Saccharomyces cerevisiae S288C: one gene and its partners. The gene in region 1 interacts genetically with each later gene. Each region holds a gene or a part of one and is shown in the gene's direction. Other genes may lie near its edges.

Region 1 (4,389 bases):
TGTTTGAACCGTAGATTTCGGAGTTGTTTGCTTGATCACCTGAAGACAAAACGGTCATCAAAGTAGGAACTTTTGGTGCAGTATAGGTGATATTATTGAAGAAGGCGTAATTCACACCGTTTTTCAAGTTATCCATAACAACGTCAACGGTAATCACATGATCTGGCTCGCCATAGATGGCTTCTTTCTCGTACGGTTGCAAGTAGAAATCGTCCAAGAAGTTATCAATTGAATCCACGTAATTTTGTGTGGGCAGCGCAGCGGTTTTGTTGTAGACCATATAAGAGGTTGCATTCAGCTGTAAATCACTTGGAATGACATCCAACATGGTGTCATCAAATTTCTGCATGATGGCGAAATTTTTGTCCGTGTCGTTTTTAGTGTGAACCAGGACTGTATATCTCTGAGCGACAGTGATGTAAAGCATATCCGTTACGTTCTTCTCGGTAGTGATACCGTCGATTTCGACCACGGTCATTTCGTGGTCCTCGATCCAAAAGTACTGCGAAACGAACCCACCCACGTTGACAATTCTCAAAAGATACGTCGTATCGGGCTGGACTTCCCATGTCAGATTCATCGTGTTGTTAACAATCAAGTTCTGTGGGATGGGCTCAGCACCTGTCGGATTATAAACACTCATGAACGACTTCGTCAAGTCCGTGACCAAGTCGTGGTACCACTCACTAAGCGATAAAGAAAGTTCCTCATCGTAATCGTAGGGGAAGCTATCATCCTTGATGATGAAAAGACCTTTCATCCCGTCTTCATATTGACCGTCCGTGTGTGAATGGTACCAGTAGGTGCCTACATTGTAGTCCACCGTGAAATTGTAAAGCATAGTACTGCCTGGCGCAATTGGACATTGCGTCAAGAAGGGCACACCGTCCATAGAGGCGGTTCCGTTTTGGAAGAGACCGTGGAAATGCATAGAAGTATTGGTGTTGTTCATTCCGTTGGTCAAGTAAATCTGCACACGGTCACCTTTGTTGACCGTTATATCTGGCCATGGGAACTGGCCATTACAGGTGATCACGGGACGGCTCTTTAGCCCATCAACGTTCCTGTAGTCCCAGCCAGTGGTCCAATTAAACGTGTGCGTCTCCGCTTGTGCTAGCGAGAGCATCGAGAAAAGCAAAACGGCTATAGAGAGCAAAGCGTTAGTCATCTAGTTCTAATTTTTTGCTACTCTTCCTTACACTGGGGTCCTCTTCGTTTCCTATGCCTATCCATCGCTTATAGAACAAGAGCTATAGGGCATGGCCTGCTTACATACATATATATATATATATATATATATATATAATCGCACTACATGCACGAGGCCTTGGCATACTCCCTCGAAGGATCGACTGTTTGAGTGCATCCTTCATTTTCTGTCGCAATTGGCGAGAATAAGAGCACCTGCAAATGGGTGCACTTTTGAAGATGGGCCTTGCCTGTTGGGCCTGCCTAAGTCAGCCTCGCCTAGCTCTAGGCGGAGGGTCTTTATCGGCGACTCAGCGTACTGTAGGGACCACCCCAGGCGCAACGGGCTGATTCGCACCCGGAAAGTAAAGCTTATTTCTGTCGGACGGAGAGTGTCCTTTTTCTCTCGCAGAAGACCATTTATTGGTCCTGAAACGGTATGAACATGTTATTATTCCTGTAACCGTGAAATAGGCAAGCCAAGGCATTATCGCAAAGAAGGCAGCACAGATTCTCGTATCTGTTATTCTTTTCTATTTTTCCTTTTTACAGCAGTAATGTCTCACACAGAAACACAGACTCAGCAGTCACACTTCGGTGTGGACTTCCTTATGGGCGGCGTTTCTGCTGCCATTGCGAAGACGGGTGCCGCTCCCATTGAACGGGTGAAACTGTTGATGCAGAATCAAGAAGAGATGCTTAAACAGGGCTCGTTGGATACACGGTACAAGGGAATTTTAGATTGCTTCAAGAGGACTGCGACTCATGAAGGTATTGTGTCGTTCTGGAGGGGTAACACCGCCAATGTTCTCCGGTATTTCCCCACGCAGGCGCTGAATTTTGCCTTCAAAGACAAAATTAAGTCGTTGTTGAGTTACGACAGAGAGCGCGATGGGTATGCCAAGTGGTTTGCTGGAAATCTTTTCTCTGGTGGAGCGGCTGGTGGTTTGTCGCTTCTATTTGTATATTCCTTGGACTACGCAAGGACGCGGCTTGCAGCGGATGCTAGGGGTTCTAAGTCAACCTCGCAAAGACAGTTTAATGGATTGCTAGACGTGTATAAGAAGACACTGAAAACGGACGGGTTGTTGGGTCTGTACCGTGGGTTTGTGCCCTCAGTTCTGGGTATCATTGTCTACAGAGGTCTGTACTTTGGCTTGTACGATTCTTTCAAGCCTGTGCTGTTGACGGGGGCTCTAGAGGGGTCCTTTGTTGCCTCTTTCCTATTAGGTTGGGTCATTACCATGGGTGCTTCCACTGCGTCGTATCCCTTGGATACGGTAAGAAGAAGGATGATGATGACTTCGGGCCAGACCATCAAGTACGACGGTGCTCTGGACTGTTTGAGAAAGATTGTTCAGAAAGAGGGCGCGTATTCCTTGTTCAAGGGCTGTGGTGCCAACATATTTAGAGGAGTCGCTGCAGCTGGTGTCATCTCATTGTACGATCAGTTGCAACTCATAATGTTTGGCAAAAAATTCAAGTGAAAAAAAAAGAAAACAACAAACGAATAAAATCTAAAAATTCTACATATTCTTGCTATTTATTTACATATTCATTCTTGCTACATACCTGTCTTATGCTATAATGACACTGGAGGTCTTCTTTCTTCTTTGAATTTATGTCCTGACAATTCAGTAAACGCCGTGCGGAAGGGAACCGTTTACGTACGCCAAGCTAAACATTGAAAAAAAAAAAAAAAAAAATGATAATAATAGTAATAATAGTAACGACGTAAAGGTAAAAGAAACAACAGACTTTTAAACTTGTTAACTTTTGCATGACCTCAATTGAAGATCTGATATCAAATCCTCCCCTGCTACTGCATTCCTCACTCTCTCAACTTCGCTACCTCATACTCAGTGAAGGGCTTCCCATATCTGAAGATAAACAGCAGCAGCGCACGCGATGTTACGTGTGGACGGTGCTCTCTCAAACTTCTATGGAGGCGTCTACACAACGGTACCTTGCGCTCTTGAAACTGGGCCCACCTTCCACAACCATTTACCAAAAAATCAAGAACGACACATCCAGAACTTTTCAGACGGATCCAAACTTTAGAAATAGAGTCTCAGAGGATGCCCTCATCCGGTGTCTGTCGTGCTTTGCTTGGCAAACACAACAAAGAAGACAAAAGACTCGTTTTGGTCGCATTCCTGTGAGCACATATGTGCAGGGCATGAACGTGTTATTAGCTCCTCTGCTTTACTCATGTCCTTCTGAACCTATGGCGTATCAACTTTTCACTAAGCTTTGTTATGAAATGATACCGACGTATCTAACTAAGAACCTAAACGGCGCCCAGAACGGCGCCAAACTACTAGATATTTCTCTCAGAATCATTGATCCAAAGCTGAGTAAATTTCTATCGGACAATTTACTTACAGCAGAGATTTATGGTATGCCTTCCATACTCACGTTATCCAGCTGCAATAAACCGCTTGATCAGGTCATTAAACTGTGGGATTTCATGTTTGCATATGGATTCCATATGAATATTCTCTTTGTGGTGGCATTCCTAGTTAAAATGAGATCCAAGGTTTTCAAATCGGATTCCCCTGTTAATTTACTACGACAGTTTCCGGATTTTGATGCTGACGAGATCATTCGGCTGGGCGTCGGGTTCATCGCTAAGATCCCTGCTCAAATTTATGACCTATTGGTAGACCACTTGACCGACCCAGACATATATATACCGTAAACTATGTGAAGAAATATTATATTTTATCGTTTAATTCTACAACGTTTATATGTCTGTATGTGTAAAAAAAAATAAAACGAAAAAAGCAGTGGGTAGATGAGAAAATTTACAGTAATTTAAGGTTATTATTCTATTATTGCACGAAATGAAAATGGCTCGTACGCATATCCTTCACCTTCAAAAAATTTGGACATTGCCTCCACCCAATGCAAACGTAGCGCATGCAACATTGCGGAAGTACCTTCCATGAAAACTAGGATACAAACGGTTAAAACAAACCACATAGCAAATAAGAAAACCACCTTCATGACAGCCAAAGGCGACCCTGAGTTTTTAGAACTGAAAGCGTTTGAAATTGTCATATCCCATAAAACACTAGATAATTGCGCATGCGCCAACGATAGTGCCCAAAGACGTAGATATGATGCTGTATGAGAGATACAATTTAAACAGAATTCAATAGTATGGATTACCTGATGAATCATGACATCGCCGAAATT
Region 2 (7,321 bases), on another chromosome or scaffold:
AAAGCTCACTGTTACGCCTGGAATCCGTTGTAATGCCGGTGATCTTTACTGCATTGGCGTTGTTTACCAGGATGTACAAAATCGGCATCAACAACCATGTTGTTTGGGATGAGGCGCACTTTGGTAAATTTGGTTCTTATTACTTGAGACACGAATTTTACCACGATGTCCATCCTCCCCTAGGAAAAATGCTGGTCGGGTTGTCTGGTTATTTGGCAGGCTACAACGGTTCTTGGGACTTCCCTTCTGGGGAAATTTACCCAGACTATTTGGATTATGTTAAAATGAGACTGTTCAACGCGTCATTTTCCGCGCTCTGTGTGCCATTGGCCTACTTCACTGCCAAAGCTATTGGATTTTCTTTACCAACAGTTTGGCTGATGACCGTGTTGGTTTTGTTTGAAAACTCGTATAGTACTTTGGGCAGGTTCATTCTTTTGGACTCCATGCTACTTTTCTTCACTGTCGCATCGTTCTTTAGTTTTGTTATGTTCCACAACCAGAGGTCCAAGCCGTTCTCTAGAAAGTGGTGGAAATGGCTGTTGATCACTGGTATTTCTTTGGGTTGCACTATTTCCGTCAAAATGGTGGGTCTATTTATCATCACTATGGTCGGTATCTATACTGTGATTGACTTATGGACCTTTTTGGCAGATAAATCCATGTCATGGAAAACCTATATTAACCACTGGTTGGCAAGAATATTTGGTCTTATTATCGTCCCCTTCTGCATTTTCCTATTGTGCTTCAAAATACATTTTGACCTATTATCGCATTCTGGTACAGGTGATGCTAACATGCCATCTCTTTTCCAAGCAAGATTAGTGGGTTCTGACGTCGGACAAGGCCCCCGTGACATTGCTCTAGGTTCCTCCGTTGTTTCCATCAAAAACCAAGCTCTTGGAGGATCTCTATTGCACTCACATATACAAACTTATCCAGATGGGTCCAACCAACAACAAGTAACCTGTTATGGTTACAAAGATGCTAACAACGAATGGTTTTTCAACAGAGAAAGAGGCTTACCATCATGGTCAGAAAACGAAACTGACATCGAGTATTTGAAGCCAGGTACCTCCTATAGATTGGTACACAAAAGCACGGGCAGAAACTTGCACACCCACCCAGTTGCTGCACCAGTGTCAAAGACACAATGGGAGGTTTCTGGTTACGGTGACAATGTTGTTGGTGACAACAAAGACAATTGGGTTATTGAGATCATGGACCAAAGAGGAGATGAAGACCCTGAGAAGTTGCACACATTGACCACCTCTTTCCGTATCAAGAACTTGGAGATGGGCTGTTACTTGGCTCAAACCGGTAACAGTTTGCCCGAATGGGGTTTCAGACAACAAGAGGTTGTCTGCATGAAAAACCCATTCAAGAGGGACAAGAGGACCTGGTGGAACATCGAGACCCACGAAAATGAAAGGTTGCCACCAAGACCCGAAGATTTTCAATACCCAAAGACCAACTTCTTAAAAGACTTCATTCATTTAAATCTAGCCATGATGGCCACTAATAACGCTTTGGTGCCAGATCCAGACAAATTTGATTACTTAGCTTCCTCAGCATGGCAATGGCCAACTTTGAATGTGGGTTTGAGACTATGTGGCTGGGGTGATGATAATCCAAAATACTTCCTATTGGGTACCCCAGCTTCCACGTGGGCTTCTAGTGTTGCCGTCCTCGCATTCATGGCCACGGTCGTTATCTTACTGATCAGATGGCAAAGACAATATGTGGACCTAAGAAATCCATCTAACTGGAACGTTTTCTTAATGGGCGGGTTCTACCCACTACTAGCTTGGGGCCTACACTACATGCCATTCGTTATCATGTCTAGAGTCACCTACGTTCATCATTACTTGCCTGCCTTGTATTTTGCACTGATCATTTTGGCGTACTGTTTCGACGCCGGTTTGCAAAAATGGTCCAGATCTAAGTGCGGCCGTATCATGCGGTTCGTCCTATACGCCGGATTCATGGCACTTGTAATTGGTTGCTTCTGGTACTTCTCCCCAATATCATTTGGTATGGAGGGACCAAGTAGTAACTTCCGCTACTTAAACTGGTTTTCCACTTGGGACATTGCCGACAAGCAAGAAGCATGAATTAAGATCATCGTAGTAAGTACATAAGTAAAAAACAAGAATTAAATAAAATTTCTATATCAACCAGCAGAAGAAGTGGTCTATATAAACCACTATATAATGAATTTCGATAAACACTCTTTAATTGTTAACCAGGCTGTTCTCCTTACTCATCTTTGCGATCCGATGCTGTTTTATTACCCTTCTATTTTTTCCTTTCTGCATTTTGATTTTCGCGAATAATGAAATTCTTGATCTTTTTATCAACAATGAAAAAAAAACTGTAAACAGAAACTGATAATTTCTTGAACCCTTTAGCCCACCCCAACCGTACTCGTGTTATTCGCTCGTTGATTTACGCGAACCTTTTTGTTTGCTTTACATAGCCTCTAGCCATTCAAAGATTCGCTACCCTGAACCATGGAAATATTTAGCCAGAAAGATTACTACCCGACTCCATCCTCAAATGTTATTAGCTATGAAAGCGATTGTGTATCCAAACCAGTGAATAGTGCAGACCTGCCCGCGTTAATTGTACACCTTTCTTCCCCTTTGGAAGGTGTAGACTACAACGCATCTGCAGATTTTTTCCTTATTTATAGGAATTTTATAACGCCTCAAGACTTACACGACTTACTCATCTATAGATTTCGATGGTGTATTAGGGAGATCACAACAAATGCTGCAAAAGCTAAGAGAAGGCGAATTGGTGAAGTTGCCCTCGTGAGGACGTTTGTGTTGTTGAGGCATTCCATACTGAATTATTTTGTGCAAGATTTTTTACCGAACATAACATTAAGACTTCGGTTGATCGAGTTTCTAAACGACAAACACATTGAACAGTACCCAAAAATAATTTCCAGCTGTATAATCAATCTGAAAAAAAACTGGGTGCATTGTTCTAAGTTGGTTTGGGAGAATATTGAACTAAATGAACCTGATAAATTAGACTTTGATGCATGGCTGCATTATTCGTTAAAGGATTTCACGCAACTAGAAAGCCTACACAAAAGAGGAAGCCGACTGAGCATTTACGCCAGGCAAAGTTTTGCCAGTCCTGATTTTCGTAACCAAAGCGTTTTATCATTATATAAAACTTCTGATGTATTTAGACTGCCGGAGAAGCTACAGTCTTCAAATTCTTCCAAAAACCAGAGAAGCCCTTCTATGCTTTTATTTCCCGATAATACATCAAATGTTTACTCGAAGCACCGAATAGCGAAAGAACCTTCAGTTGATAATGAAAGCGAGGACATGTCAGATAGTAAACAAAAGATCAGCCACTTGTCAAAAGTCACTCTAGTATCCACACTAATGAAAGGCGTAGACTACCCGTCATCATATGCAGTCGATAAAATAATGCCTCCAACACCGGCTAAAAAAGTTGAATTTATTCTGAATTCCTTATATATTCCTGAAGATTTAAATGAACAAAGCGGAACGCTTCAAGGTACATCGACGACATCATCTCTAGATAACAATAGCAACAGTAATAGTAGATCTAATACATCTTCAATGTCTGTGTTACATCGCAGCGCTATTGGTCTTTTAGCTAAGTGGATGAAAAACCATAATCGCCATGATAGCAGTAATGATAAAAAATTTATGAGTGCTATTAAACCAGCAAACCAGAAACCTGAAATGGATGCGTTTGTCAAATACGTTGTATCAATATCATCTCTCAATAGAAAATCTTCCAAGGAAGAAGAGGAAGAGTTTCTTAACTCTGATTCTTCTAAATTTGACATCCTAAGTGCAAGAACCATAGATGAAGTGGAGTCCCTACTGCATTTACAAAACCAGCTGATAGAAAAAGTTCAAACACATTCGAATAACAACCGAGGTCCTACAGTTAATGTTGATTGTGAACGTCGGGAACACATACATGATATAAAGATTTTACAACAAAATAGCTTTAAACCGAGTAATGATAATTTTAGCGCTATGGACAATTTGGATCTGTATCAAACCGTAAGTTCAATTGCTCAGTCAGTCATCTCTTTAACTAATACTTTAAACAAGCAACTGCAGAACAATGAATCGAATATGCAGCCATCACCCTCGTATGATGCACTGCAACGAAGGAAAGTAAAAAGTCTCACGACAGCATATTACAATAAAATGCACGGTAGCTACTCAGCAGAAAGTATGAGGCTCTTTGATAAAGATAATAGTTCTTCACGTACAGACGAGAATGGACCTCAAAGATTGTTATTCCATGAAACTGATAAAACCAACTCAGAAGCGATTACAAATATGACACCAAGGAGGAAAAATCATTCCCAATCCCAAAAAAGCATGACTTCTTCGCCTCTGAAAAATGTTCTACCTGATCTTAAAGAATCGTCTCCCTTAAACGATAGTAGGGAAGACACAGAATCAATAACATACTCATACGATTCCGAGTTGTCATCCAGCTCTCCACCCAGAGATACTGTAACGAAAAAGTCAAGAAAAGTCAGAAACATCGTGAATAATACAGATAGTCCAACTCTAAAAACAAAAACTGGATTTTTAAATCTAAGAGAGTTTACATTTGAAGATACCAAGTCTTTAGATGAGAAAAAGAGTACTATAGATGGCCTTGAAAAGAATTATGATAACAAAGAAAATCAGGAATCAGAATATGAGAGCACAAAAAAGCTGGACAACTCACTCGATGCATCATCAGAAGCCAATAATTATGATATAACTACAAGAAAAAAACATTCATCTTGCAATCACAAGATCAAACAAGCAGTTGTAAGACCGGCTAGTGGAAGGATCAGCATTTCAAGAGTTCAAAGCATTGCCATAACACCAACCAAAGAGTTATCCATAGTAGATCCTGAGCAAAACAAGTCAAACTCAGTTATAGAGGAAATAAGTGAAATAGAACCTCTCAACCTGGAATATAATAAAAAAAGCGCGTTGTACTCTGATACATCGTCCACCGTTATCAGTATCTCAACGAGCAAGCTTTTTGAATCTGCTCAGAATAGTCCTCTAAAACAAACTCAAAATCCACAGAGAGAATTTCCCAACGGGACCAGCGTGAGTGAAACCAATAGAATCAGATTATCCATAGCACCCACAATAGAATCTGTTGTAAGTGATTTGAATTCGATTACCACTGGTAGCACAGTTGAAACTTTCGAAACGTCCAGAGATTTACCAGTGCCACACCAAAGGATAATAAATTTGAGAGAAGAATATCAAAGGGGTAATCAAGATATAATCTCAAATACTTCTTCATTGCATGAGTTAAAAACAATTGATTTAAGCGATTCCAATAATGACCTAGAAAGTCCAAGTACCCATGCGAAAAACAACAAGTATTTTTTTTCACCAGATGACGGTAGCATTGACGTTGCTTCTCCAATGAAAAACGTTGAAGAGCTGAAAAGTAAATTTCTGAAGAACGAGAGTGAAACTAATAGTAACATATCAGGAAGTGTATTGACAATGGACGATATCGACATTAATGACACATCTAGTGCCCGGAACACACGGAGAGCAAACTCTGAGTCGGCTTTTACAGGCTCCTTGAATAAGAAAAATTTAAATGAAATTGCTAATATGCTCGATGATTCAATTAATGACGATCCAATAACCGTGGCATTAATGAAACTGGAAGGTACATACGAGAAAATTCCCGAAAAACCAGAGAACACCAAGAGTAGTGACGCTATTGGAATTAAAACGAGCAAGTTAGCAGATGAAGTGGAAATGCTAAACCTTAACAACTTGCCGTCATTCCAAAATAGCCCCGCAGAAAAAAGAAAATCGTTATTAATAGAAAGAAGGAGACAAACTATAATGAATATCCCCTTTACTCCAGATCAATCCGAGAAGGAAGGCTTTACTTCCTCCTCTCCTGAAAAAATAGACGTGTCAGCTAATGTTGATGTTGCTGTGCAAGCGGCGCAAATCCAGGAATTAATCGGTCAATACAGGATTCACGATTCGAGATTAATGATTTCTAATAATGAAAGTCACGTTCCATTTATACTAATGTACGATTCCCTGTCTGTAGCGCAACAAATGACCTTGATAGAGAAGGAAATTTTAGGAGAAATAGACTGGAAAGATTTATTAGATTTAAAGATGAAGCATGAAGGCCCACAAGTTATAAGTTGGTTGCAACTACTAGTAAGGAACGAGACCTTATCTGGCATTGATTTAGCTATATCCAGATTTAACTTAACTGTGGATTGGATTATATCAGAAATACTTCTTACCAAGAGCAGCAAAATGAAAAGAAATGTCATTCAAAGGTTTATACACGTTGCAGACCACTGCAGGACATTTCAGAACTTTAACACATTGATGGAAATCATTCTAGCCTTAAGTTCTTCAGTTGTTCAAAAATTCACTGATGCATGGCGTCTGATTGAACCAGGCGACTTACTGACTTGGGAAGAGCTAAAGAAGATTCCCTCGCTAGACAGGAATTATTCTACAATAAGAAATCTACTTAACTCTGTGAATCCACTGGTGGGTTGCGTCCCTTTCATCGTCGTATATCTTTCGGACCTATCAGCAAACGCAGAGAAGAAAGACTGGATCTTAGAAGATAAAGTAGTGAATTACAATAAATTCGATACGAACGTTCAAATAGTCAAGAATTTCATTCAAAGGGTTCAATGGTCCAAGTTTTACACTTTCAAAGTTAACCACGAATTGCTGAGTAAGTGTGTTTATATTAGCACATTAACACAAGAAGAGATTAATGAACTATCCACATGAGGTATTGTGCCACTTTCCTCCAGTTCCCAAATTCCTCTTGTAAAAAACTTTGCATATAAAATATACAGATGGAGCATATATAGATGGAGCATACATACATGTTTTTTTTTTTTTAAAAACATGGACTCGAACAGAATAAAAGAATTTATAATGATAGATAATGCATACTTCAATAAGAGAGAATACTTGTTTTTAAATGAGAATTGCTTTCATTAGCTCATTATGTTCAGATTATCAAAATGCAGTAGGGTAATAAACCTTTTTTTTTTTTTTTTTTTTTTTTGAAAAATTTTCCGATGAGCTTTTGAAAAAAAATGAAAAAGTGATTGGTATAGAGGCAGATATTGCATTGCTTAGTTCTTTCTTTTGACAGTGTTCTCTTCAGTACATAACTACAACGGTTAGAATACAACGAGGATATGTCCGACGAAATTGTTTGGCAAGTGATTAATCAAAGTTTCTGCTCTCATAGAATTAAGGCACCTAATGGTCAAAATTTT
Region 3 (6,075 bases), on another chromosome or scaffold:
GGGGGCAAACACACCCGCGATAAAGAGCGCGATGAATATAAAAGGGGGCCAATGTTACGTCCCGTTATATTGGAGTTCTTCCCATACAAACTTAAGAGTCCAATTAGCTTCATCGCCAATAAAAAAACAAACTAAACCTAATTCTAACAAGCAAAGATGAAGTTAGAAAATACTCTATTTACACTCGGTGCCCTAGGGAGCATCTCTGCTGCTTTGGTCATCCCAAATCTTGAAAATGCCGCCGACCACCACGAACTGATTAACAAGGAAGATCACCACGAGAGACCCAGAAAAGTGGAATTCACTAAGGACGATGATGAGGAGCCATCTGACTCTGAAGATAAAGAACATGGAAAGTTCCATAAGAAGGGCCGCAAGGGCCAAGACAAGGAGTCTCCGGAATTCAACGGTAAACGTGCAAGTGGCTCTCATGGGAGCGCCCACGAGGGAGGAAAGGGCATGAAGCCTAAGCATGAAAGTTCCAATGATGATGATAATGATGATAAGAAGAAGAAGCCTCACCATAAGGGTGGCTGCCACGAAAATAAGGTGGAGGAGAAGAAGATGAAAGGTAAGAAAGTCAAGGGCAAGAAGCACCACGAAAAGACGTTGGAGAAAGGGAGGCACCACAACAGGCTGGCTCCTCTCGTGTCCACTGCACAATTCAACCCAGACGCGATCTCCAAGATCATCCCCAACCGCTACATTATAGTCTTCAAGAGAGGTGCCCCTCAAGAAGAGATCGATTTCCACAAGGAAAACGTCCAGCAGGCACAACTTCAATCCGTAGAGAACTTATCTGCCGAAGACGCTTTCTTCATTTCTACTAAAGACACCTCCTTGTCCACCTCTGAGGCTGGCGGTATCCAGGACTCATTCAACATCGATAATCTTTTCTCCGGTTACATCGGTTACTTCACCCAAGAGATTGTCGACTTGATACGTCAAAACCCATTAGTAGACTTTGTTGAGAGAGACTCTATTGTCGAGGCTACAGAATTTGACACTCAAAATAGCGCCCCATGGGGGTTGGCCCGTATTTCCCACAGAGAGCGCCTCAACCTGGGGTCCTTCAACAAGTATCTCTACGATGATGATGCCGGTCGCGGTGTCACGTCCTATGTTATTGACACGGGTGTCAACATCAACCACAAGGACTTCGAAAAGAGAGCCATTTGGGGGAAAACCATCCCACTTAACGACGAAGATCTCGACGGTAACGGCCACGGTACCCACTGTGCCGGTACTATCGCTTCCAAACACTACGGTGTCGCTAAAAATGCCAACGTTGTTGCGGTGAAAGTCTTGAGATCAAACGGGTCTGGTACCATGTCTGATGTCGTCAAAGGTGTCGAATATGCCGCAAAGGCGCACCAAAAAGAAGCCCAAGAAAAGAAAAAGGGGTTCAAAGGTTCCACAGCCAATATGTCGCTTGGTGGTGGCAAGTCCCCAGCTTTGGACTTGGCTGTTAATGCAGCCGTTGAAGTCGGTATTCACTTTGCCGTGGCTGCTGGTAACGAAAACCAAGACGCTTGTAATACCTCCCCAGCTTCTGCTGACAAGGCCATCACCGTCGGAGCTTCCACGTTGAGCGATGACAGAGCCTACTTTTCCAACTGGGGTAAGTGTGTCGACGTTTTCGCCCCAGGTTTAAACATTTTGTCCACCTACATTGGAAGTGATGACGCCACCGCCACTTTATCGGGTACCTCAATGGCTTCCCCTCACGTTGCTGGTTTGTTGACCTACTTTTTGTCTTTGCAACCAGGTTCTGATAGTGAATTTTTCGAATTGGGCCAGGATTCTTTGACTCCTCAGCAATTGAAAAAGAAGCTAATTCATTACAGTACAAAGGACATTTTGTTCGATATCCCTGAAGACACTCCAAATGTTTTAATCTACAACGGTGGTGGTCAAGATTTGTCCGCTTTCTGGAATGATACCAAAAAGTCCCATTCATCTGGTTTCAAGCAAGAATTGAACATGGATGAATTCATTGGATCAAAGACCGATTTAATCTTTGATCAAGTGAGAGATATTCTTGATAAATTGAATATTATTTAATTCTTCATTTAGAAAAATTTCAGCTGCTTTTTTTTTTCTTTTTCTTTCCTTAGGCGTCTCGAGGTTACAAGTCGGAGTCCCTCTTCACTATCGTTTGTCCACTTTTTTTATATCCCCATTATTTTCAATCTGAATTTCATTTTTTTTTTTTAATTCATGAAATTTATATGTCCCACGTATTACTACATATTTGCGTTTTTAATTAAATAAATAACTGTTACTTTTATTATATCTTATTTGCAGATCACTTATCTGATCAAATGTTTTCGTTTTCGTGTGTGGTGACGATGTATTAGGTACGCGAAATAAACAAAACAAACAAACAAGGCCGCAACAATAACATCATCTAAAGACTTCCTTTGTGACCCGCTTCTCAACAGCGGGTGTAGAACTTATGGTATGGCCAGAAAGTAACGTTGAGTATAGATACAGAAGCAAGCAATTCAAAGGAAAAAGTAATAAAAAGTATATAAAAGCGCAAAAAATACAACAAGAAAGAATTTGTTTGATGCCAGCGGAAAACCAAAATACGGGTCAAGATAGAAGCTCCAACAGCATCAGTAAAAATGGCAACTCTCAGGTTGGATGTCACACTGTTCCTAATGAGGAACTGAACATCACTGTAGCTGTGCGATGCAGAGGAAGGAATGAAAGGGAAATTAGTATGAAAAGCTCCGTTGTGGTAAATGTTCCAGATATTACAGGTTCTAAAGAAATTTCCATTAACACGACGGGAGATACCGGTATAACTGCTCAAATGAATGCCAAGAGATACACAGTGGACAAAGTCTTCGGTCCCGGCGCTTCCCAGGATCTAATTTTTGATGAAGTGGCGGGCCCATTATTCCAGGATTTCATTAAAGGTTACAATTGCACCGTACTGGTATATGGTATGACGTCAACAGGTAAAACATATACAATGACGGGCGACGAAAAGTTATATAATGGTGAATTGAGCGATGCAGCAGGAATTATACCGAGGGTTCTTTTGAAGTTGTTTGACACATTGGAACTACAACAGAACGATTACGTAGTAAAATGTTCGTTCATTGAACTCTACAACGAAGAATTGAAGGACCTCTTGGACAGCAATAGCAACGGCTCTAGTAATACTGGCTTTGACGGCCAATTTATGAAAAAATTGAGGATTTTTGATTCAAGCACAGCAAATAATACCACTAGCAACAGTGCTAGTAGTTCCAGGAGTAATTCTAGGAACAGTTCTCCGAGGTCATTAAATGATCTAACACCTAAAGCTGCTCTATTAAGAAAAAGGTTAAGGACAAAATCACTGCCGAATACCATCAAGCAACAGTATCAACAACAACAGGCAGTGAATTCCAGGAACAACTCTTCCTCTAACTCTGGCTCTACCACTAATAATGCTTCTAGTAACACCAACACAAATAACGGTCAAAGAAGTTCGATGGCTCCAAATGACCAAACTAATGGTATATACATCCAGAATTTGCAAGAATTTCACATAACAAATGCTATGGAGGGGCTAAACCTATTACAAAAAGGCTTAAAGCATAGGCAAGTAGCGTCCACTAAAATGAACGATTTTTCCAGTAGATCTCATACCATTTTTACAATCACTTTGTATAAGAAGCATCAGGATGAACTATTTAGAATTTCCAAAATGAATCTTGTGGATTTAGCTGGTTCAGAAAACATCAACAGATCCGGAGCATTAAATCAACGTGCCAAAGAAGCTGGTTCAATCAACCAAAGTCTATTGACGCTGGGCAGGGTCATAAACGCACTCGTAGATAAAAGCGGCCATATACCTTTCCGTGAATCGAAATTGACCCGCCTGCTTCAAGATTCCCTGGGTGGTAATACGAAAACCGCACTAATTGCTACTATATCGCCTGCAAAGGTAACTTCTGAAGAAACCTGCAGTACATTAGAGTATGCTTCGAAGGCTAAAAACATTAAGAACAAGCCGCAACTGGGTTCATTTATAATGAAGGATATTTTGGTTAAAAATATAACTATGGAATTAGCAAAGATTAAATCCGATTTACTCTCTACAAAGTCCAAAGAAGGAATATATATGAGCCAAGATCACTACAAAAATTTGAACAGTGATTTAGAAAGTTATAAAAATGAAGTTCAAGAATGTAAAAGAGAAATTGAAAGTTTGACATCGAAAAATGCATTGCTAGTAAAAGATAAATTGAAGTCAAAAGAAACTATTCAATCTCAAAATTGCCAAATAGAATCATTGAAAACTACCATAGATCATTTAAGGGCACAACTAGATAAACAGCATAAAACTGAAATTGAAATATCCGATTTTAATAACAAACTACAGAAGTTGACTGAGGTAATGCAAATGGCCCTACATGATTACAAAAAAAGAGAACTTGACCTTAATCAAAAGTTTGAAATGCATATTACTAAAGAAATTAAAAAATTGAAATCTACACTGTTTTTACAATTAAACACTATGCAACAGGAAAGTATTCTTCAAGAGACTAATATCCAACCAAATCTTGATATGATCAAAAATGAAGTACTGACTCTTATGAGAACCATGCAAGAAAAAGCTGAACTAATGTACAAAGACTGTGTGAAGAAAATTTTAAACGAATCTCCTAAATTCTTCAATGTTGTTATTGAGAAAATCGACATAATAAGAGTAGATTTCCAAAAATTTTATAAAAATATAGCCGAGAATCTTTCTGATATTAGCGAAGAAAATAACAACATGAAACAGTACTTAAAAAACCATTTTTTCAAGAATAACCATCAAGAATTACTGAATCGTCATGTGGATTCTACTTATGAAAATATTGAGAAGAGAACAAACGAGTTTGTTGAGAACTTTAAAAAGGTCCTAAATGACCACCTTGACGAAAATAAAAAACTAATAATGCAGAATCTGACAACTGCAACCAGCGCGGTTATTGATCAAGAAATGGATCTGTTTGAACCCAAGCGCGTTAAATGGGAAAATTCATTTGATCTGATAAATGATTGTGACTCCATGAATAACGAATTCTATAATAGCATGGCAGCGACGCTATCGCAAATCAAGAGTACTGTTGATACATCATCAAATTCGATGAATGAGTCTATTTCAGTCATGAAAGGACAAGTGGAAGAATCGGAGAACGCTATATCCCTTTTGAAGAACAATACCAAATTTAATGATCAATTTGAGCAGCTTATTAACAAGCATAACATGTTGAAAGATAACATTAAAAATTCGATAACATCAACACACTCTCATATAACTAATGTGGATGATATCTATAATACGATTGAAAACATAATGAAAAACTATGGTAACAAGGAAAACGCTACCAAAGACGAAATGATCGAGAACATATTGAAGGAAATACCAAATCTAAGTAAGAAAATGCCGTTAAGGTTATCAAACATAAATAGCAATTCAGTGCAAAGTGTAATATCGCCCAAAAAGCATGCAATTGAAGATGAAAACAAATCCAGTGAAAATGTGGACAATGAGGGCTCGAGAAAAATGTTAAAGATTGAATAGTTGATATTGCCTTTCAGTCGAATATATATTCAAACTAGTGGTTAATAAAAACAAAGTATGTAAAGAATACTCAGTTATTCATTAGAAGGCAAGACAGAAGAGAAGGGTGTGAAACCACCTCTACCAAACACACCAAGAGATGAACCTAAATCAAATTTTCACAGAGCTAACTATATAAACGTTTGGATTCGTGTGTACTATCTTTATTTACGGAAATAAGTTGTAATATTAAAAAAAAAAAAAAACATTTTGATGGACAATGAATTTCTCTAATTTTAACTCAGCTATTAATTACCTTAAATTCTCCTAATTCGTTTAGGTAGCTTTCGACTTCTAATTTAGGCTTGCTCAGTAAAACGCAAATTTTATCAAATGTTTCGGCATTCCTAATAGACTCTTCAAGAATACCTTCTTCTTCGTCGCTGAGTTTCGGCATAGTACTTTTGCCTGTTGCCAACGAACTTACCCTTTGCATTTCAAATGAAACCTTTGATGGTCTT

What was found. Genes that interact genetically often act in the same process or in processes that back each other up.
Region 2: of BUB2 (region 1) and LTE1, a mutation in one rescues a mutant of the other (synthetic rescue), as found in Saccharomyces cerevisiae (7 studies listed by BioGRID, with this or other methods).
Region 3: mutations in BUB2 (region 1) and CIN8 are lethal when combined (synthetic lethality), as found in Saccharomyces cerevisiae (7 studies listed by BioGRID, with this or other methods).

The regions. Positions count from the first base shown.
Region 1 is NC_001145.3:385,601-389,989, reverse strand, and holds BUB2 (Bub2p), read left to right. Parts: upstream 1-2,968; coding exon 2,969-3,889; downstream 3,890-4,389. Other genes in the region: ferroxidase FET3, read right to left, coding at 1-1,168; ADP/ATP carrier protein AAC1, read left to right, coding at 1,746-2,675; STV1 (H(+)-transporting V0 sector ATPase subunit a), read right to left, coding at 4,015-4,389. UniProt on the Saccharomyces cerevisiae protein: Part of a checkpoint which monitors spindle integrity and prevents premature exit from mitosis. This cell-cycle arrest depends upon inhibition of the GTP-binding protein TEM1 by the BFA1/BUB2 complex.
Region 2 is NC_001133.9:101,065-108,385, reverse strand, and holds LTE1 (mitotic regulator LTE1), read left to right. Parts: upstream 1-2,513; coding exon 2,514-6,821; downstream 6,822-7,321. Other genes in the region: dolichyl-phosphate-mannose-protein mannosyltransferase PMT2, read left to right, coding at 1-2,114; ribosome biosynthesis protein MAK16, read left to right, coding at 7,241-7,321. UniProt on the Saccharomyces cerevisiae protein: GDP-GTP exchange factor for TEM1, a Ras-like protein, component of the mitotic exit network (MEN).
Region 3 is NC_001137.3:36,035-42,109, reverse strand, and holds CIN8 (kinesin motor protein CIN8), read left to right. Parts: upstream 1-2,572; coding exon 2,573-5,575; downstream 5,576-6,075. Other genes in the region: PRB1 (proteinase B), read left to right, coding at 157-2,064; nitrogen permease regulating protein NPR2, read right to left, coding at 5,856-6,075. UniProt on the Saccharomyces cerevisiae protein: Elongates the mitotic spindle by interacting with spindle microtubules to generate an outward force pushing spindle poles apart.